Linked DNA regions of Notamacropus eugenii. The main gene of each other region encodes a partner of the protein of the gene in region 2 in a complex. Links are inferred from orthologs where the notes say so. Each region holds a gene or a part of one and is shown on either strand. Other genes may lie near its edges.

The links. Proteins that work in one complex are often made in the same cells at the same time.
Region 1: FBXL13 (region 2) and DRC12 share a complex: the UniProt entries of both Homo sapiens proteins name them as parts of the nexin-dynein regulatory complex. The link is inferred for Notamacropus eugenii from reciprocal best matches to the Homo sapiens genes FBXL13 and DRC12.

What each region holds. Positions count from the first base shown.
Region 1 is NC_092876.1:279,603,140-279,614,162, reverse strand, and holds the start of DRC12 (dynein regulatory complex protein 12), read right to left. Parts: upstream 4,215-11,023; 5' UTR 4,164-4,214; coding exon 4,100-4,163; exon of another isoform or gene 4,012-4,099; intron 3,866-4,011; coding exon 3,790-3,865; intron 3,078-3,789; coding exon 3,007-3,077; intron 2,554-3,006; coding exon 2,434-2,553; intron 1,607-2,433; coding exon 1,514-1,606; intron 1,255-1,513; coding exon 1,124-1,254; intron 783-1,123; coding exon 654-782; 3' UTR 605-653; intron 1-604. Other genes in the region: NHERF4 (Na(+)/H(+) exchange regulatory cofactor NHE-RF4), read left to right, coding at 10,288-10,389. UniProt on the Homo sapiens protein: Component of the nexin-dynein regulatory complex (N-DRC), a key regulator of ciliary/flagellar motility which maintains the alignment and integrity of the distal axoneme and regulates microtubule sliding in motile axonemes.
Region 2 is NC_092874.1:152,909,365-152,920,181, reverse strand, and holds the start of FBXL13 (F-box and leucine-rich repeat protein 13), read right to left. Parts: upstream 4,757-10,817; 5' UTR 4,572-4,756; coding exon 4,305-4,571; intron 1-4,304. Other genes in the region: ARMC10 (armadillo repeat-containing protein 10), read left to right, coding at 6,773-6,908, 10,758-10,817. UniProt on the Homo sapiens protein: Substrate-recognition component of the SCF (SKP1-CUL1-F-box protein)-type E3 ubiquitin ligase complex.

The DNA of each region.
Region 1 (11,023 bases), on a different chromosome or scaffold from region 2:
TTATCCTTTCCCACAAGTCTCGCTGCCTGTGTTTGTGCTGGAGTGGAGGAAAGAATATGGGGAAGGGTAAAGAAGGGAATAAGCATCTATATAGTGCTTATTGTATACGAGGCACTATGTAAGCATTTTATATGGATTTCATTTGACCCTTACAGCAACCTTTGGGGGTAGGTGCTGTTATCTCCATATTATAATTGAGGAAACTGAGGCAAAAAGAGGTTAAGTAACTTGCCCAAGGTCACACAGCTAGTAAATGTCTGAGGCTGGATTTGAAGTCAGGTCTTCCTGACTCTGAGCCCAGTGCTCATTCTACTGCATCACTTAGCTACCTTTGACACAAAGATCAAGATTCCATGAATCTTGGGGATGGGGGGGAGGGGGAGGGGAGTGGGGATATTATTTCTATGGATGGGTTGGGTTTGCCAACATTTCTTTCCCCACAACTCAATAGATAAAGTGTTATTACGTAGATGTTTCTGCCTCCAACCTAATATGCTTTCTCCCACTGATAGAGCTTCCTCCCATGCTGGCTTCATCTAGAGAAGGGACTCAAGGGCTCAGGAGGAGAAAGGCCCCCTGTTGCTTAGAGCTAGAGGAACAAAACCTTTATTGTTGGGAGCCCAGAAGGCCCTGAAGTCCAAGGGTCCCCAGCTTCAGAAGTATAGGGGGTTGAGCCCAAATTGCTGAAGTTGTTCTTTGTGTTTCTCATGGAGCCTCAGAGCAGCTGCATCCCACTCCAATTTAGCTGTGGCCAGTTTGGCCAAGAGTCGATCCAGGCTGCACTGTAAAGTAGGACCATCTTTTACTTGGTCTCAACCTCACAGAAGAGAATAAGTCAGTTATGCCCCACAATGGCTTTGGAATTGCACCTCCTGCTGTTTTCTTAAAAGCCCCTAGTGCCAGGGACCTAAATTAGCCATGCCACCTGCCACATACTACTGAGATGGATGGAGGACCCTGGACTCCTGTGCAAATGTCTCTTCCTTGCAGCCTATCTTCAAGTCAAATTTTGTCTTTCCCAGTGAGATCTGAAGAGCTAATTAGGAACTGTTTTGTGAGCCTGGGGAGAGGATGCCAAAGTACAGGAGGGAAAGGTCCAAGAGTAATGCTGGTTATTACTTACATGTAGAATTTCTTCATACTTAGCCTCCATGTCTGTCACATAGGCCTGAAGCTGGGCAAGGGTCTTGTCTCGTTCTGCTAATGCCTGTTCAGCCTCTCTCTTAGCAGTTTTTGCCTCTCTTTGGCATGTCTCTGGGGAGCCAGAGACAGGATTAATGAGGAATATGAAGGCAGCTGAATAGAGTCTGCTCAGTGGCCTGTGGGAGAATCTGTCCCCTTTGCACTTTCCAAGATACAGAATACCCTTAGATGCCTCACCTAAAAGAATGCTGCCTCATCCCTTCATTCTTGTCAAACTCAGCTCATTTGTCTAGCTCTAGCCCTGCTATATCCCATTCTCAGAACACAGACTGATCAGGTACCCATCTAGGACACAGAAATTCATACCTACCTAACTCTTTCTGAAGGACCTTTACTTTCTCTTCCAGCTGATGTCTCTGTGTCTCAGTCTCTTCCCTCAGGGCATGGTACTGACGACTCATCTCTTGGGGTATGGGATAGTAGTAGGAGGTACTCCCAATAAGGAAGATCATAGAATTAGAATTGGAAGAGATATCATTGGCCATCTAGTCTAATCTATACCAGAACAAGAAACTTCCCTGCAACATACCAATTTGTCACCTGGTTTTTGCTTGAAGATTTCTTGTGAGAGAGAACATATTACTTTCCAAGGCAGTCCATTTTACTTTTCAATAGATCTAAATTTTAGGAAGTTTTTTCCTTATCACAGTTAAATTTGCTACTCTCAAGCTTCTACCCATTGTTTTTAGTTCTGTCTTCTGTAGCCAAGAAGAACCAATTTAATCCCTTTCATGAGATGGTTCTTCAAATATTAGAAGACAGCTACATTTCCCCTAGAAGTTGTCTTCAGGCTAAAAATTCCCAGTTCCTTCATCTGATCTGATCTTGAGGTTCTTCTCCATCCTGGCTGTGCTCCTCTGGAGATACTTTCCAACTTACATCCTTCTTAATATGTGGTACCCAGAAATGAACATGGTACTCCATATGGGGGATGATATTATAGGAAGTTGCCTTGGGAAACACCTTCCCATGGCTTGTTTATGATATAGAAAATTCTGCTTGTAAAGTCACCCAAAAGATGGAAATTTATAACAAATAGAGAACAGAAAGACAACCAGATCTTCTGTCCCATTCCAGATCTACAATCACTGTGGGATGGAGGGGTTATGAACCTTGAGACATCCCTTTCTAAGATCCCACAAGAGCCTCATCCAATTTATGCTGAGTGGAAAAAGCTCAAAGACAGAATTGGTGATAAATTGTCCTATAGTCTGAGGCCCCTCCTGTCACCTGCATACACAGCCTCTCCATCACCTCGAGCCTCCTCCACCTCAGCCTCCAACTCCTGCAGCCTCACTCGGAGCAGTTCTCTGCAAGCTATGGCCTGGCGAGTCTCATCCCGTCGAAGAGCTAGGGGTGGCACCAAATGAAGGATGAAGTCCTCAGCCCATAAAGAATATCTCATTCTCCCAGGATACCTCCCACCCACATGCACGTGTGCACACACACACAGACACACACTCACACACACGCACACACTGCTATACTCCTCTCTTCCCTACTCCTGGAGTCTCCAAGTTCTTATTTGCCCAATGTTTTAGAGTTTTCCCTGTTTCCCCCAGCCCTGAAGTCTACCAGTCACTCTTTTGGAACAAATTTCTTCTCTGCTCTGGCCAATGGAAAATGGCATCCTCATCTCTGTAAGGATTATAATTAACTATAATTCTAACCTTCATTACCTAGACTTTTCACATAATTTCCCATAATGATCTATTTAGCTAGGAACTACTTAGGAGCAACTATGGAATAGGTATCACCTCCACTCTCCAAGGAGTAGGGGAACTTCCTCTATTATTCCCTTACCCAGATGGTCACGGAGGATCTCCACCTCCAAGGCTGTTCTCCTGTGCTTGATCTCAACATCGACATCTGTCCTTGGCAAGAAGGAATCATAGGATTATAGATTTAGAGCTAGAAGGAACTTTATTATTTTCCAACTCCCAAATTTTATGATGAAGGAACTGAGGTGAAGTGAATTTGCCTAAGGTTACACAGCAGTTCAAACAAAACTCACATCTTCAGACTCCTAGTCCATGACTCCTTCTATATTACAAAACAGGAAGTGAGGGACAGTTTCATGGAAACCATATAAAGGCCTAATCTATTATAGCTTCTCCTTTGTCATTCTCCTCCACCCTCAACTCCCATGTTTAGAAACCTTTTTGGGGTTAAATCTAAAGGTTGTGGGCACTTGCAGGTCCCTCTGGAGCTGGTGGTACAGGAGTGTGAAAGAGCAACAATTGCAAAAGTTGAGTAGTTCAAAATAGGCTAGGCTGACCCAGAGGAGATTCTGGATCCCTGGTGATTCCAGGAGAGCCTGCATTTTGTTTTCATGTAGAATCTTGGTCCCTGGGAGCAGGAAGAGATGGAGAATGGATCTTCAATTAGAGGAAATGACACAAGTTCATCTTTCCCCATCCCTGGGTACCATTGTTATAAATGAAGGAACCAAGGCCAGGAGGAAGAAATAGGCTCGGACTGGATTCCACCATGGGGAAGGGGGTCAGGACTCTAAGGGATGCTAGGTGGACAAAGCCTTCAAAGACACCCGCATTGTTCCCACCAGCCTCTACCCACCTCACTCACCTTGATTCTTCTTTTTCTTTTTCTGTCCCCCAGCTTTTGATCCTTTTCCTTTGATTTTTGGTGGCATCTTGGTGTCCTAGAGGAGGAAATGGGCACATTGTGTTCAAGTTCTGGGTCCTAAGGAGATGCCCTCTCTACTCTCATTTTAAGGTGACTATCTGGTAGAATAATAATGGGTGATCAGTCTGTGTAGCTTTCATCCACTATGTAAAAAAGGAATACCTTTGGGTCCTCTTTTGGAGAAAGTAATTCTTTGTATAAGGTTAGCTTTGTGCCTGCCTTTGCCCCCTCTTTCTCTGCCTCCCCTTACCTGTAGGTACCTCCTCAGATGTGCCTCCTATTTCTTCTGTGGTGTGTCTCCCCAGAGAACTCATGTTGAAAGGCAGTAGGATGGCCCAATGAGCTGGAAGACCAAGGAAGGGGCTGGATTAGGGCAACCAGTACAGATCAGCAATGTAGGGGGTGGAGATAGTGGAAGGAAGGTTGAGTGTCTGGGCTGCCTTCTGTCTTAGCAACCAAGAAACTTGGGAGTTGTTTGTAGGAAGACAGAATTAACTACTGATTTAGATTAACTTCCTGTTCTCCATGTATCTCCTTCCCCTATTCCACATCCCAGGGGGAACTGGTGAAGAATGACTTGGGGAAGATTGGTCCAGATTTTTTTGGAGACCATAGATTCGGAACATCATAAATGTTAAAATTTTAAAAATAGCTTTATTATGCTGATGATGGCAACAGTAATGATAATTATTTGGCATAATTCCCATAAGATGAAAGGTTTGAGCTAGAATATTCCTTTTTAATTTTGCTATCACTTACTTTTATGTTACCTTCCTTTTTCTGAATACATTCTTACCCTACCCATTGAGTCATGTAACAAAGAATAAAAAAGAAAGGAAAAAAGTTCCACAAAAGTAACCAAAACATCTAAATATGATAGTATAATATGCAACATACTTACAACCACAATTCCCCACCTCTGCAAAAAAGGAGGTTGAATTTTTTCATCTCTTCTTTTGGAATAATCTTCTACCTCTAAAATGACATATTTTTATTGCATTTTTTCATTCTTTTATCATTTATTTTTGATTTTGTTTTACTTTTCACTGATATACTTTTATTATAGCACCTTCTTCTCTCAACACATCTCTCTCATACTCAGAGAAGCAACCCTTTTTTTTTTTTGAGGAGTTAACAATCACTTTATTTTTTTTCTTTTTTTTAAAATTAATTTATTTAACTTTTAACATTCATTTTCACAAAATTTTGGGTTCCAAATTTTCTCCCCATTTGTCCCCTCCCTCCACCCCAAAACACCAAGCATTCTAATAACCCCTATCACCAATCTGTCCTCTCTTCTATCATCCCTCCCTTCCCTTGTCCCCCTCTTTTCTTTTGTCCTGTAGGGCCAGATAACTTTCTATACCCCCTTACCTGTATTTCTTATTTCCTAGTAGCAAGAACAGTACTCGACAGTTGTTCCTAAAACTTTGAGTTCCAACTTCTCTTCATCCCTCCCTCCCCACCCATTCCCTTTGGAAGGCAAGCAATTCAATATAGGCCATATCTGTGTAGTTTTGCAAATGACTTCCATAACAGTTGTGTTGTGTAAGACTAACTATATTTCCCTCCATCCTATCCTGCCCCCCATTGCTTCTATTCTCTCTTTTGATCCTGTCCCTCCCCAAGAGTGTTGACTTCTAATTGCTCCCTCCTCCCATTGCCCTCCCTTCCATCACCCACCCTGCTTATCCCCTTCTCCCCCACTTTCCTGTATTGTGAGATAGGTTTTCATACCAAAATGAGTGTGCATTTTATTCCTTCCTTTAGTGGAATGTGATGAGAGTAAACTTCATGTTTTTCTTTCACCTCCCTTCTTTTTCCCTCCACTAAAAAGTCTTTTGCTTGCCTCTTTTATGAGAGATAATTTGCCCCATTCCATTTCTCCTCCCAATATATTTCTCTCTCACTGCTTAATTTCATTTTTTTAAGACATGATCCCATCCTATTCAATTCACTCTGTGCTCTGTGTGTGTGTGTGTGTGTAATCCCACCCAGTACCCAGATACTGAAAAGTTTCAAGAGTTACAAATATCGTCTTTCCATGTAGGAATGTAAACAGTTCAACTTTAGTAAGTCCCTTATGACTTCTCTTTGCTGTTTACCTTTTCATGCTTCTCTTCATTCTTGTGTTTGAAAGTCAAATTTTCTTTTCAGCTCTGGTCTTTTCATCAAGAATGCTTGAAAGTCCCCAATTTCATTGAAAGACCATTTTTCCCCCTGAAGTTTTGCTGGGTAGGTGATTCTTGGTTTTAGTTCTAGTTCCTTTGACTTCTGGAATATCCTATTCTATGCCCTTCAATCCCTTAATATGGAATCTGCTAGATCTTATGTTATCCTGATTGTATTTCCACAATACTTGAATTGTTTCTTTCTAGCTGCTTGCAATATTTTCTCCTTGACCAGGGAACTCTGGAATTTGGCTACAATGTTCCTAGGCGTTTCTCTTTTTGGATCTCTTCCAGGAGGTGATTGGTGGATTCCTTGAATACTTATTTTGCCCTCTGGTTCTAGAATATCAGGGCAGTTTTCCTTGATAATTTCATGAAAGATGATGTCTAGGCTCTTTTTTTGATCATGGCTTTCGGGTAGTTCCATAATTTTTAAATTGTCTCTCCTGGATCTATTTTCCAGGTCAGTTGTTTTTCCAATGAGATATTTCACATTATCTTCCATTTTTTCATTGTTTTGGTTTTGTTTTGTGATTTCTTGGTTTCTCATAAAATCATTAGCCTCCATCTGTTCCATTCTAATTTTGAAAGAACTATTTTCTTCAGTGAGCTTTTGAACCTCCTTTTCCATTTGGTTAATTCTGCTTTTTAAAGCATTCTTCTCCTCATTGGCTTTTTGAACCTCTTTTGCCAATTGAGTTAGCCTATTTTTAAAGGTGTTATTTTCTTCAGCATTTTTGGGGGTCTCCTTTAGCAAGGTGTTGACCTGCTTTTCATGCTTTTCTTTCATCTCTCTCATTTCTCTTCCCAGTTTTTCCTCCACCTCTCTTACTTAATTTTCAAAATCCTTTTTGAGCTCTTCCATGGCCTGAGCCCATGGTATATTTATTTTGGATGTGTGGGATACAGAAGCCTTGACTTCTGTGTCTTTCCCTGATGGTAAGCATTGTTCTTCCTCATCAGAAAGGAAGGGAGGAATTATCTGTTCACCAAGAAAGTAACCTTCTATAGTCTTATTTTTTTCCCCTTTTCTGGACATTTTCCCAGCCAGTGGCTTGACTTTTGAGTTTTCGAAGCAACCCTTTTAATAAAAATTAAAAAGAACAAAAAACAGACTTCAGCAAAACCAACTACCACATCAACTAAATCCAACATTATATGCTGTATATATTGTACGGATATAATCCCCTTGACTTTGCTAATATTGAAGGAAAATAAATTTTCTCATTTTTTTCTTTGGGGCCAAGCTTGGTCATTATAATTACACACTGTTCAATTTAAATCTTTTTTTTTTTTGTTGTTGTTCTTTCCATTTATATTTGTAACACCCACTCTGAGTTACCTTCCCAGAAGGCCACCATTACCATCAGTTTGCAGGATACTCTGGGTTTACACTGTTGAAATTATAGTTTAAGAACTCTCACCAATGAGCTTTTCCCTTAACTTAGTCAGTAGATACAAGTAGCTCAAAGAAGGTGCTTTTACTAAGATAAAGCAGTAAAAACAGTAGCTACAAAACATTGACCCTATTTTTTTTTTTACAAGGCAGTCAGAGTTAAGAGACTTGCCCCAAACCAGTGCTTTAGCCACTACGCCACCTATCTGTCCCTAAAACATTTCCATTATTAAACTAGGGCACATATACCTACAAATACATATAGCATACACGAAAAGAATAGGCACAAAGTACAATAGTAGTGTAGTCAAGGCAACTTCATGCTCTCAATATTTGTTCTCCATGTGGTTTTCACACTGCTTCCCCTTGTGCACAGCATTTCTTCCTGTTGCTCAACTGGACTCTCAGGGTCTATTCCCCTCCCTAGCTCATGTCCATTTCCAGAACTGGTTCTCTCTTGAATTCTTAGTCTTATTTCTTTTGCTGGTAAAGTCCCATTCATTGAACTGCTTCCTATCTCCAGGGAAGGCAGGACTTAGTAAGCTAGCATTTTAAAGGTGATCAAGGGCATGGTTAATGTGTTAGCTAATGGTAAACTTCCTCTCTATGTACATCAGGGAAAATTTCACACATTTTGAAAAGGGGTAGCAGTGTTAGCATTTTGTTAACACATTAACACCTAATTATTTGTGCTTTAGCTTCCTGTCTTTGATGACTTTTTTGGGTGATTATAATTAGTTTGGTCAGAGACCAACTCCCTCCCTTATGCGTAGGCTGCCTTCATTTTGTATTTTGTTTTCCCTGTTCTGTTTACTTCACTTTGTATCAGTTCATGGCTTTCCATGTGTCCTTATTCAGCATTTCTTATGATGTAGTAATTTTCCATTACATGCACCACAATTTGCTTAACCATTCCCCATTTGACGAACATATACTTTGTTTCCAGTTTTTTGCTCCTACCAAAAGTACTGCTGTATGTATTTTGGCTGATCAAACATTTGTTATGAATCCACTGAGAAATATTACTTATCTTCAATGAGTTTTTAGTGTAGTAAGTTTTATAATTGAGGCATATTGGTGAGGGAACCTAGAGGAGAGAGAACATCTCCTTCTACCAGGGAAATGGAAAATGAGGCTTAGGGAAAAATTAGATAACCCATATAATGAGAAGTACTGTTCAGAATGATGGGTATACTTGAAAGAGCAATGGAATGAGACTGAGGTCCTCTGGATCCTAGTTATAGCTCTGCCACTAAATAGCTATACATCCTTAGTATGGTCACAACCTTTGGAGTCTCAGATTCCTCATTTGTAAATGAAGTGATTAAACTAAACAATTTATAAGGACTTTCCACGTCTAAAATCTTGATCAACTTGAGAATCTGGAAATGCTGAGGTTTAGTTTGAGGTTTGGGTTTTGTCACTGACCCCCTTGTCTTTTACATTCTTTTGCTTGTCAACTTCATCCACATGTCAGCCTTCAATTATCTCTCTATGTAGAGGATCCCCGAAGTTCAATATCTAGTTTTGACCTTTCTCCTAAACTCTAGTCATGCATTTCCAATTCATATACTGGATGTCTCCTTATTGTTCTTCTGTCTTCTCAAACTTAACATGTAAAAATGGAACTCATTTTCTTCCATAAAGGCCAACCTTTTCCCTCAATTTTCCAACTTTTGTTAATGGTTCACCATTTTTCCAGTCATACCAGGATCAAAATTTTGACTCCTTTGTTCCTCATATGAATCAATCACCAAATTCCATAGATTTCACCTGGTTAGTATTTGTTGCATCTATTCCTTCCTTTCTATTTTCACTACCATTACCTTAGTTCAGAGCCTTGCTACCTCTCATTTGGACTTTTTCAACACTTTACTAATTAGTCTTCCTGTCCTTTATATTTTTTTTGTCTCACATATTCTACAAAGCATTGCCATTATACCTTTGACAATATCTCTCAAATACTGCCAAGTGGATCTCTGACATCATCAATTTGGGTATTCCCTCCAATGATGCAGAAAACAATCCAAGGATGCTTTCTCAAGTTGTATGACTTTTATTCATATTGTCCCAGAAATTTGCTACAGGGATCCATCCAGTGTACTGGAGGCCTTTCTTGTTTTTCTTGGCATCTTGAAGATGGATACCAGTGGTTTACTCCGATTATCTTATCCTTCAAACTTGTTAAGTAACTAGCCCATCTTTTCTTCCTATCACACATTTCCTTGATAATATATTTTACTCTTGTTATTCAAAAACCCTTACTGGTTGTATTGCAATCTGCTCACATTCACCATTCACCTCCACATTGCCCTATGTGATAGAAATTTTTTATTATTTAGAATCTTTTGGATCCTATTTCTTTCTACCATAAAGCAATACAAATAACAAGTTAGTATTAAAAAGATGGGCTATTGTTTCCAGGAGACATTTGGGGTCATTATAGGAGATTTGCAATTTCATGAAGGTAATCAAATCTACTCTTCTCACATCTTATTGTCCATTTATACTGGACCTAACTCGGTGTCCACATGAACTGTCTGTCCCAGACACACATTTTGATGTTCAGTTGTGTCTGACTCTTTGTCACCCCATTTGAGGTTTTCTTGGCAAAGATACTGGAGTGGTTTGCCATTCCTTCTCCAGCTCATTTTACACATGACACAACTGAGGCAGAGGGTAAGAGGGCTCAGGGTCACATAGGTAGTCAGTGTCTGATTTGAACTCAGGAAGATTTCAAATGCATGTTGTAATCTGGGCAATAAAAATTCATATCTACTTCTTTTCTGTCTTTTCTTGCATGGATGGTCAGGATAAACTATTTTGAGTGTTATGACCATATCTTGCAGGATTCTCTGCATTGTTTTACAGAGTGATGAAATAATATCTAACAGGCTCATCTGTGGACCTCATCAAAGTAACTATGAACAAAAACTTCAATTTGGACTTCATACAGGATCAGCTCTATCATAGTGGTGGACATCTTTGGGGAGCAAAAATCTCTTTTCTGATGCCTCATCTGATGTTGGTGATCAAAGGATTTATCGAAAAGGGTTATTTCTGCTGTTATAGCTCACTAAATGTTGAATGATTTTGACGTATGGATGGGAGACATTGTTGAAAAAGAACTTTTAAGATGGTGTTTTACTCTTCAAAATCAAATGCAGTTTGACAACCAACAAACTAAAGCAGTGAGCTCTTATATTTTCTGATCTTTCAGGCAATTGTGGAATGGTAAGGGTGTGGTCCATTGCTGAATATCAGTTGTAGAATCCTGCTTGTTCCCAACTAATGTCCTCATTAAAGATGTTTTTAATTTGTGCATAAATTATTTTCTTAAATATTTTGCATAGATGGCAAAGTAGATATATAGACCAGTAATTGTTAATGTTCTCTCATGTACCTTTTTTTGGCAGGGGAGGGAAGATATTAATAAAGTCTAAAGTGGGGAACCTGCCACCTGGAGGTCACATGTGGCCTTCTAGGTCCCTGGGTGTAGCCTTTTGATTGAGTCCAGTTTTACAGAACAAATCTTTTTTTTTTTTTTTACTCTAATGTGCACTTAAAAAAATTAATTTATTTGCTTTCAGTTTTCAACAATCACTTC
Region 2 (10,817 bases):
GTTGGAATCTATATAAAGGAGATGAAAGATAGGAACTGATCAGTGGATTTCTTGGTACTGAACAATGGAAAGGGGCCTCAGATTGTGGGTGACTGGTACTGTTTAAATGAATTAAATTGATTCTTTAGACAGAAATATCCCTAGAATAAAGGTCATTTTTTCAAATTTTCCTAGCTTGGTGGAAATTTCCCTTAATTTCCCAATTCAATACTTAACACGTAAACTTGTCATTTTGTAATTGTGCCTCCCAAGTGGACTCATTAGGAGTAAGTGATCTGAATAGCAACTTTGATACCAGTTCTCTATCTAGGTGTGTCTCTCCTTGTATGTGAATAAACTGGTATTTTAGTTTATTCGTCAATCACTTTTAAGTTTGGTTAGTTTGAATCAGTTACCCAGAGCTTCATTACCTCAAAGTACGGGGATCATAAGATCAAATTCATGAGCCAGAAATAGCTAAGAGCCAGACCCTGGACTTGAAGTGATGCCTAAGGTTGCTGACCACTACTCATAGGGGCTCAGTTGAACCAGCCACCTAACCTTTCTCTCTCCAAATCATCCTTTTGTTGCTGTTCCATTTTGAAAATCTGCCTGTTTTCCAAATATGTAAATACAGTTGGTGTTTTAGAAATGCTAAGTACAAAGGAACTATAAAGTATAAGTACCTGATTCAATAAAAATCATTCCTTTCAAAACAGGCAACCAACAATTCAGATACTCCCTCTGCTGGACAATTTTTTGAGAAGTACTTTATTTTTTCACAGACATTAAACTCCACTCTAGCTTTGATATTATAGGATCATAAACTTAGAGCTGAAAAGTATCTTACAAGACATCACATTCAACTCTGCAGATGGGGAAACTGAGGCCTATGGAGGTTAAATAATAAAATCATAATAGTTAAGATATTGCACTTACAGGTTTGTATAGTGCTTTACAAATAGTATCTCATTTCATCCTCACAACAACCCTGGAAGATAGGTGCTATTATTTTCTCTTTTTCACAAATGAAAAAACTAAGGCACACAGAAGTTAAGTGATTTGCCCAGGGTCACAAAGCTAGGAATTATTTAAGGCCATGGGAGAAGTCAGGTACTCCTGACTCCAGGTACAGAGCATTGTGCCAACTGACTTTCTCAGGGTCACATAACTATGAAAAGTCTGAAGTGGAACTAAAACACACTTCTTTCTGAATGAGAATGCACTTTTATTTCCATTACTATGGCAGTAAGTATAGTGCTTTTGCTTTTTTTTAAACTGCAATGGAAATATCTCTCTTATTATTATTAATCAAATTTACAAGTAGGCAGGGTATATATGCCTGTATTATGTAATTTAATGACACACCAGAAAGAACCTTAACTGAAAGTATCTCCCTCTCAAGGGTACCAAAAAACCCAGATAACACATTCATTTCTTTGGCTTTCTCTCCTAGAGCCTTTTTAAAAATTCAGATGCTACTCTGAAGGGTTAACACACTGAACTAATTCACACAAGAATATATTACAGACAAAGGAGGCCTCAGGGGGAGGGGAGGGGGGAAGAATGTGAAAGAAGATGGACAAAGAAAGAGGAGCTAAGAGCCAAGACAAAATTCCCTTACTTTACAATTTTGCCTAAAGTTAGGCATAAATGACAACTCATTTAACTTAGCATTTCACAAACCCAGATTTTATAGATAATGAAACAGGTTTAGATAGGTTAAGTTACCCTGATCACACAACTAGAAAGCGTCTGAGCCAAAACTCAAATCCAAGTCTTTTGATGCCAAATCTTAATGTTTTCTCCAGTGTGCCATGCTTCTCAAAAGGGGTAAGTGGCAAGACATACAGGCAAAGTGCTAAATGTGAAATGAAAATAACTTTGAGGTTCCATCACAAACCCCTCACATTTGATGGCAAAGGCAGTAACAGTGGAAAATGGCAAATGTTAGAAGGGTTATGGGAAAACAGACATGTTAACGCACTGCTGGTGGAGTTGTAAATTGATCCAGCCATTCTACAATGTAATTTGGAATAATGCCCCCAAGGTTACTAAAGTGTATACTCTGTTATCCACTGATACTAGTCCTATGGTATCAAAGAGGTCAAAGAAAGAAGAAAATTAAAGTTATTATGTTTGATATTTATATATTTAATATATATTATATATAAAGATATTTACAGCAGCACTTTCCATAAAGAAAAAGAACTGGAAACTCAGAGTGTACCCATAAAGTAGGTAATGGTTGAACAAATGATGGTATATGAAAGTAATGAAATTCTCTTGTGTTCGTCCTTTGTTGCCAAAGAAGACCATGCCATCAGAGAAATGATGACATGACTTGCACTTGACTTTGCTTTGAGTGCGGGAGGGCTGTGCAGGTCACCGGCCTCGCTTCTCCAGAGCCATCTGAATCCAGTGACCTGACATTATTTCTCAGGATGACAGGAGATGGGCCAGGATGCAATGGAAATTCTCTTGTACTATAAGAACAGATGAAGGGGATGAATTTAGAAAAACCTAAGAAGACTTGTATGAACTAATGCAGAATGAAGTGAGGAGAACCAAAGCAATTTATATAATAACAATACTGTAAAGACAAACAACTCTGAAAGACTTAATAACTAATCAATGCAATATTCAAGAGGGCTGATAATGAGGCATGCTACTCATCTTTTGACAGAGATAGACTCAAGACGCAGAATGAGACATACATTTTTGGACATGGCCAATGTAGGAATTAGTTTTGCTTGACTATCCATATAATAAGAGCTAACATGTATATAGTATCTACTACATGCCAGGCACTGTGCTAAGCACTTGACAATTATTAATTCATTCGATCCTCATAATCACCGTGGGAGTTAGATGATCTTTTTATTATTCCCATTTTACAGATGAGGAAACCGAGGCAAACTCAGTGACTTAAGTGACTCACCCAGGGTCACACAGCTGGTGTCTACGACTGGCTTTCAGTGTGCCTTACTGCAGGTCCTGTGTTTTATCCACTGTACCACTTAGCTGCCCCCTTGTGCTGCATTCGTCAGAGGATTTGAGAATCCAAACAGATAATGGGTGTAAAGTGCCAAGTCAAAATATAACGTTATCATCATCACCATCATCCCCTCTAGATGAGATCCAGCTAAGCCAAATTACATTTGAAGATAAAACTGGACAAAAGATGATAAACAGAGAAGATAAAATGGATCTACAGGCATTTTCACAGTGATCTCTCTGCATTAAAAACATTTAGATTACAGCATCCCAATGTTGAAAATACCAAGTAATGGTATTTAAGAGGGGGAAGTCAAAACTGGTGGCTGAACCTAACTAAGCACAGAGAGAAGTCTGAATGGCGGACAACACAATTGTTAAAGCACTATGAAGTAGAATTTTAAGCTGAGACAGGGAAAGATTTCAAAAGAATGGAAAAGATCATTAATGGTGCCTTTATAAGGGGAAAAAAGATAAACGAAAAGACGTTCCCAGTTGCTATGTCTTCCTTCTTGTCTGTATAGGGTGCTATGAACACACTGAAGAGATCCAAAATGAAAACATAAGAAGTCAATAGCTACGCTTTCACAAACATTTTTTTTTAATACTAGGCCACATTTTTATGGGAAGACTGCTGACTGAAACAATTAAAATCCACATTGTCAAAATCCTTTGAAAATGTGTTCCAATATGAAACATAACTTTAATTTTATACCAAACCTGATGAGCTTTCAACTGTAAACATTTGTTCCTGTTTAACAAATGAGGAAAGGAACCCAGAGAAGTGATACCACTTAACCACGGCCCTAACAGATGTACAAAGGTAGACCAGAAATCCAGGACTCTCTCTGACTTTTTCCCCACCGTACCACGCTGCCTAAGTCTCCTTCCACTACATTAGGCCCCCTGATGTCACAGGCTAAGTGGGTGGTTCAGAGCAGGGGCTGAGATCAGATCAATAACAGGCTGATCCGCAAAAGGAGAGAGCTCCGTCTTAGGGTTGAAAAGGAATTTTAGTTGTCCTTTTACAAAGGTGGAACTCAGGGGCAAAAAGGTTGTGATTTGCCCAGGCGCAGACGGATGGCACAGCGCGCGAGAGCCGGAGAGGCCGGGGTTCAAGAAAAACTAGGTGGTGGTGGCGACAGAACTGTGGGCTTACGGGGCAGAACGGGGTCAGGGCGCAGAGGGCATTGACTGGGAGGAGGAAAGAGCACGTGGTGGGTCGGCGCCAGACAGGCGTGCGAGGCCCCGGGCAGGGGAGCCCGGCCCCGCCCCCCAGCCCGGCCCGGGTGGGCCGGCTCACGGCGCTCCCGACACCGCCCTGATACCTGGGACCCCTGGGAGAAGTGGTTCCTCTTGTCGAGGGTGGCATCGTTCTGGGCAGGCCATTTTGGGGCCTGCTGGGCGGGCTGGGGCCTGCCCAAGGCGGGTGGGACTAGCCGAGACAGGAGGACAAGTAGGCGAAGGTTCCCGCCCTTCGCACCCAGCACCACCCTCTGCGCTGGAGCAGCTGCCTCGGGGTTCTCTTTCTCCGCGCGTTGCTCCAGGCAACTGGGAGCTGGGACTCCCCCGCCCCCGCGCGGCGATTGGCGCATGCGCGTGTGGCTGGATGGAAGGGACCCCCGCCCAAGCCGGCCTGGCCCGGCCCACCGCGCAGCCAAGCTGAGCTTTGTAGGACAGTTCAGGGCATCACAGGCATGGATGAGGGTGGGCAGTGAGACTGGTCTGGGCCACTCATTCAAGCAACAAGCATTTACAGAAGCGCCTCCGGGGTGCCGGGCACTGCATTAAGCCCCCAGGTCAGGTGCTAGCGTCGGCGTCAGGACTCGAGTTCAAAACCTCCCCCAGTCGGGCCAACTGCCTTCTCTCAGCCTCTGTTTCCTTTTGTGTTAAATGAGAATGGTAATATCGCTCACCTCCCTAGGGTTGTTATGAGGTTCAAATGAGTTAATACATGAAAAGCAACAAAGCTAGTTACTATGTATCTTTTTAAAAATGTATTTGACTCAGCAGTGTGCGGCCCTGAAGAGCATTCTTAGGGAGCTTCCATCCAGTATGCACACATTTAAGGTGTCACACAAAAATACAGAATAATGAGTGGAGGCAGGAGCAACTGGATTTATCAGGAAAGACCTCAAGTAGGAGGCGTGCTTTAAAGGCTGCCAGGGACTCAGGAGGTTAGTGCATCCTAGGTCTGGGGAGTCCTGTGCATAAGTACAAGTAGGCCATCTTGGTTGGACCTTACAGTGAGTGGCTAAAGGGGAGCAATGGCTAATAACCCTGGAAAGTAAGGCTCTGGTCAGGCTGTGAAAAGAGCTTTAAATAAAAAGAGGGTTAAACAGAAGTCCTGAAAAATTCAATTTAATTCCATTCAATGAACTTTAAGCCCCTTCAGTTGCTTAGCCCTGCTTATCAAAGAGTGTTGGGGGAAGCCGTAGTGGGGAGGGAGACACCAAGTTTGCAGTTTTTCTATCCCTAGTCATTCATTTACCCTTATCTGCAAACTAACCCGTTCTTGCTATTCTGGGGAGAAAGGCGATTCAAAGCCGCACTTCTTGTGCTGGGGTGGACCTATCTGGATTACTTTAAAGCTGCCTATAAAAGTTGTCCCCACCTTGAAGCCATGTCTGATCTTCAGTCATCAGCCCTGCTACCTTGACATACTTAAAGTAAATCTTTTCAGTTCTCTTTGCCCTGAGTTTTGCCTCCTTAATCAGGATGAAAACCCAGATGAAGAATTTTCCTTTCAACACTACTACATGTGCAATGCAATGCTAAGACATGGAGGTTAAGGCCTTAAGGAAGGTCAGGCGGGTGGCATGTACTAGAAGCCAAGATTTGAGGCCAATTCTCTTGACTCCAAATCCATTGTCCCTTTCCCTTCTAGGGCTAGGGCAGTTTCTTAAACAAGGACTGGAAATAAAGGCTACAAATGTTTGCGCTAAGCTCACCTGCCTGGCCCTTCTGGAGTCAAGCTTTTGTGTGTGTGATTCCCTTGTCGATCTAGTGAAGGCTATAGACCCCTTCTCAGATATATATGATATATTTATCGTATATAATGTATAATATTATACGTGTTATATGGTATATTGTTGGTATATTATATGGTATGTGTTATATGGTATATTATATATACTATATGGCGTATATATATTTTAATGTATGAATAGTTATTACAAAAGAAGTCAATTATATTGAAATAAATTGTTTCCTTTCCTCCCCAAAACCAAGTTCATAAACCCCTTGCAATCTACCCATGGATTCTGGGCATCCTCCTAAGTGCCTCTTCCCCCCTCCTATTTTAACGAATGCAGGGCACTCTCTCCCTGAACCGGAACAAGCACGCAGAGCTGCTCCCGGAGGGGTCGCCCCGGAATTATCTGGAGCTTGGTTATATGCACCGGAGGTGGGTAGATGTCTACATGCAACTCCGACAACAAAGTCTAAGACCTAGCGTCTTCCACCGGTAAAACAAAATAAAAGCCCTTCCTTTTTGTGCGAGTGCGTGCGTGCGGCGCTCGCGAGGGTTACCCCAGCGGCCTCTGAACTCTGGGGCGGCGAGGACCCCTCCAGCGGAAGCGCAGGAAACGCAGTCTCTAGCCTGCCGGAGGTGGGGGTGGGGAGGCGGAACTGAAATCCCCTCTTCCTCCTCCGCTGAGCCCGCCCCCGTGCGCAGGCGCACTGGCCACCCGCTCCCACGTGCTCCCGCTGGCGAGCGCGCTGCTGGCAGCCTCGGCCCTAGGTCCCAGGGAGTATCGCCGCAGCCTGGGCATTTCCCGGGCTCCAAAGGGGCAGCATGGGCAGAGCCCGGGAGGCGGGCTGGGTGGCGGGCCTGGTGCTCGGGGCCGGCGCTTGTTACTGCATTTACCGACTGGTCTGGGGGAAAGAAAAGAGCCGGAAAACGGGGCCGGCCAGCCCCTCCCCTTCTGCAGGTGAGCTCCCCCTTTTCCCCGATGGTGGGGAAGGCGGGAGAGCCGAACCCCGCGCGCTGTCTGCTTCCCTGCCTTGTACTGGAGGCGTGGGAACGGGAGTCTGTAGCCCCGGGGGAACTGGGCCTGGAGCAGAAGCCCGTGGAGCGCCCTGCCCCCGAGGCACGTGGCCAGCCCCGGAGGCAAGTTCCAATCCGAGCTCAGACTCGTAGGGGCCCTGCGACCCTGGGCGAGTCACTTCACTTCTGCTTGTTTGTCTCCCTAACTGGAAAATGGGGTGATCGTAGCCCCCTGCCTCCCGAGTCGCCGTGAGGTTCAGCCCGGGGGCTGCTTTTCTTAGATTCCGCAGTGCCCTTGGTGCTGGAGGTGGGGAGGGGAGCTCAAATGTCTGCCGGTGGAAGCCTTCAGGCTTTCTTGAGGTGTGTGCAGGAAGCTTTTCTCAGCCCTCCTTAAAGAGCACTGCCTTTCCTCCGAAATTTTCTCCAAATTATCGTAGTTACAGAAATATGTATACACACACATACATATGTACACACAGGCAGTTAGGTGGTGCAGTGGATAGTGCACCAGTGCAGGAGTCAGGACGACCTGAGTCCAAATCTCACCTCACACACTTGACACTCACTAGCTGTGTGACCTTGGACAAGTCACTTCACCCCCATTGCCTCATCCTGGGTCATCTCCAGTCATCCTGATGAATATCTGGTCACTGAATTCAGATGGTTCTGGAGGAGCAGTGAGGCTGGTGACCTGCACAGCCCTCCCTCACTCAAAACAAAGACAAGTGCAAGTCATGTCATTTTTTCTCTGATGGCATGGTTGTTGACAAGGATGGTGGAACACATATATGCACACACATGTGTATGTATACATATATTTTATATAATACTATATATTACATATAATATGTATAATCTATAACCTACTTAGCTATCCTCTATCTCTTACTACAGACTTACTCTGTTCTGTTTGACTAAAAGCGATTCTTAATGTCCTGAGTATTAACTGAATTTTCATGATAGACAGTAATATTAATGACTCTAGAGCTACTGAAGAAAATCTAATATTCCTCAGAAGTAATAGAAATAACATTATTTCCCTAAAGTTGTAGTTCTTCTCTTGTCATGAGGTTTTTTGTTCTGTCACTTAATTTTTTTAAAACTAAATTTTTTTACACTTAGTAGGTGTGTGACCCTGGGCAAGTCATTTAATTCTTTTACCTTGGTTTTCTCATCCATAAAATGAACTGGGGAAGGAAATGGCAGACCACTCCAGTATCTTTGCCAAGAAAATACCACAAAGAGACAGACATGACTGAACAACAAGAAATCACTTAAAAAATCACTTTGGCATTCTTGATTCATTTTCTCTGTCAGGTCAGTGATTTTTAACCCATTATATAACTGGAGAAGCTTATTTACTGACATTAAAATGACTTGTTCGTAGAGGAAAAATTGATGTCCTTTCAGTCCTAGGATGCAGGTCTACCCTAGTGTTGCACTGATACCTACAAAATGTTAGAAGTCTTAAGAGCAGGAGGGGGTTCTTCACCTTTTTTTGTATCATGGACCCTTTTGGCAATCTGGTGAAGCTCATAGACCCATTTTTTTTTTTTTAGAATAATACTTTCAAGTGTGTAAAATAAAATACATAGAATTACAAAGGAAAAGAATTATATTGAAATACAGTTGTCTCAGTTAAAAGAAAAACAAGAATTTCATGAACCTTGAGATTAACGTAAAGACCTGAGATCCCATAGAGAGTGACCTTTAAAATGTGGAGTCATTCTTCTGCAAAGTATCCTTGGAATAACATGGTTAAGAATTGTACAAAATCAGGTGTGGATGGATTGCACTGTGCATTGATGGGATAGTTCTTTGCTGATGAAGGATATTTTAAATGAAGGCTTTTTTGTTCAACTAAAAAGGCCATCATGGATGCAAAGGAATAAAAAAATTTTTTTTAAATTTCTCGTTGACTAATGTTTGAATTTTCAAGGTACTCCATCATATTCTGCAAGGCTCATTTCACTTAGGGAAGGGAATAAGCCTTTATTAAGAACCTGCTATGTACTAGACATTGCTAAATGCTTTATAAATATCTCATTTGATTCCCTTCCACTACAATCCTGGGAGCTCAATGTTATTATTAGGCACATTTTACAGTTGAGTCAACTGAAGCAGACAGGTTAAGTAACTCAACCAAGGTCACAATCTAGCAAATATCTGAGGATAAATTTGAGTTCTACCCACTGTAGTATGTAGCTAGTTAGAGGAATGATTATCGATTATCGACAGAGAGACCACTAAGGTGGACGTTGTCAAGAATTAGCTAGTTAAGTGACTGGCCGTATGACAACATAATAAATGTCAGGAGTTGAGTTTTGTAGGTACCATCTGTCTCTCCATCTTTCTATGTGACTCACCCTCTCTGCCAGTCATACATTTCCTAAATAATACTCCTTTTGCAAGTTCTAGCACATATACCAGCATTAAATATATGCTGCAGCCTACTTGTGTTCACCATGTATCTCTCTACCAGAGGGGATAAGATCACCATCCTTAAGAAATTATGGTACAAGATTTGCAACCCTTTAGTTAGCTTCACTGGAAGGATGTCTGTGTTGAAAAACAGGCTTTTGTGCTACAAAGCAGCTTAAGATTATTAAAATCTCTGTGTGATTTCCCTCGTGCAGTTCACCCCAATCTTGCTTTTCACTTCTCCCAACTCATTATCCACCCATAGCTAGATCTGCTTCTGGCTAGATCTACTGATGGATGGACTCAGTGGGCTGGCCTTCCAACTGCATGGCACGGTCTGGACCATGGGAGAGGCTGGTGACCTGCACAGCCCTCCCTCTCAAAACAAAGTCAAGTGCAAGTCATGTCATGTCTCTGATGGCATGGTCTTCGGCAATGAAGGTCGAACACACAATGAAGGACCAGTAATTTCCAAACTTGCTGTTTATATAACTCTATCAGTGAAAAATGACTAAGGCTATCTACTTGCAGTGTATTTTTATACAATTTTAAATTACATAATATTTAGTTATGTACATTTTAGTTTTACACAAGCCTTTACAAAAGTATTGGGTGAGAATATTTTGAAAATATTTTATTAATGGTACAAAAAATGATTTTACTCTCACCAAAACTTAATTCTGATGCAAGCATTGGGATTGAATATCTAAATTACTTTTGAAGTTTTTTTTTTTTACTTTAATACTTTGTGATACAGTGATTTGAAATTCTGGTTCTATGTTTGAAAAAAAAACAAACTTAGTTTTAACAGCTGTCAGAGAACAAAAAAAACCTTGACAAAGCTAAATTCAAGTGAAAGGAGTATATTGTTGGCTGTGCCCACTAAATCATTATTCTAACCATTACCCAACTATGCAGAGATTTGTATTGAAATTCAGTAGTAAATTTCCATCTTCCCTGATACCAGTTAGTTGTTGTTGCAAACTAATTGGAGCGTGCTGCATTTTTCTATTTTTAACAAATGTATTCACAACCCAGTCAGACCCTTCATTGGGAACATTTTTTAAGAAAGTTGGAAAGTTCACTCTCCAGAGTTGTGGTTTTTTCCCAAGTGTGCAGATAAAGAATTTTTAATAGATGGTACACATAGTTTTCAGCAACTGAGGATGGTGAATATCCAGGAGGAAAGGATGGTCAGCAGTGCAGGGATCAGGAAGGATGAAGACTGAGAAAAACACATGAGATGTATTCATTAAGACACTAGTAACTTGGAAGAGAGTGGTTGCAGTTGAATTAGCTCTGATGAGTAGCGAGGAGTTGCAGAAATTTTAAAGAGGTATATGTAAATATTATCTTCTCTCCTTATCATTAGCTGAATGGACCAGGAAAGGCTTCCTGCAGAAGATGATACTTGAACTGAGTCATAAAAGAA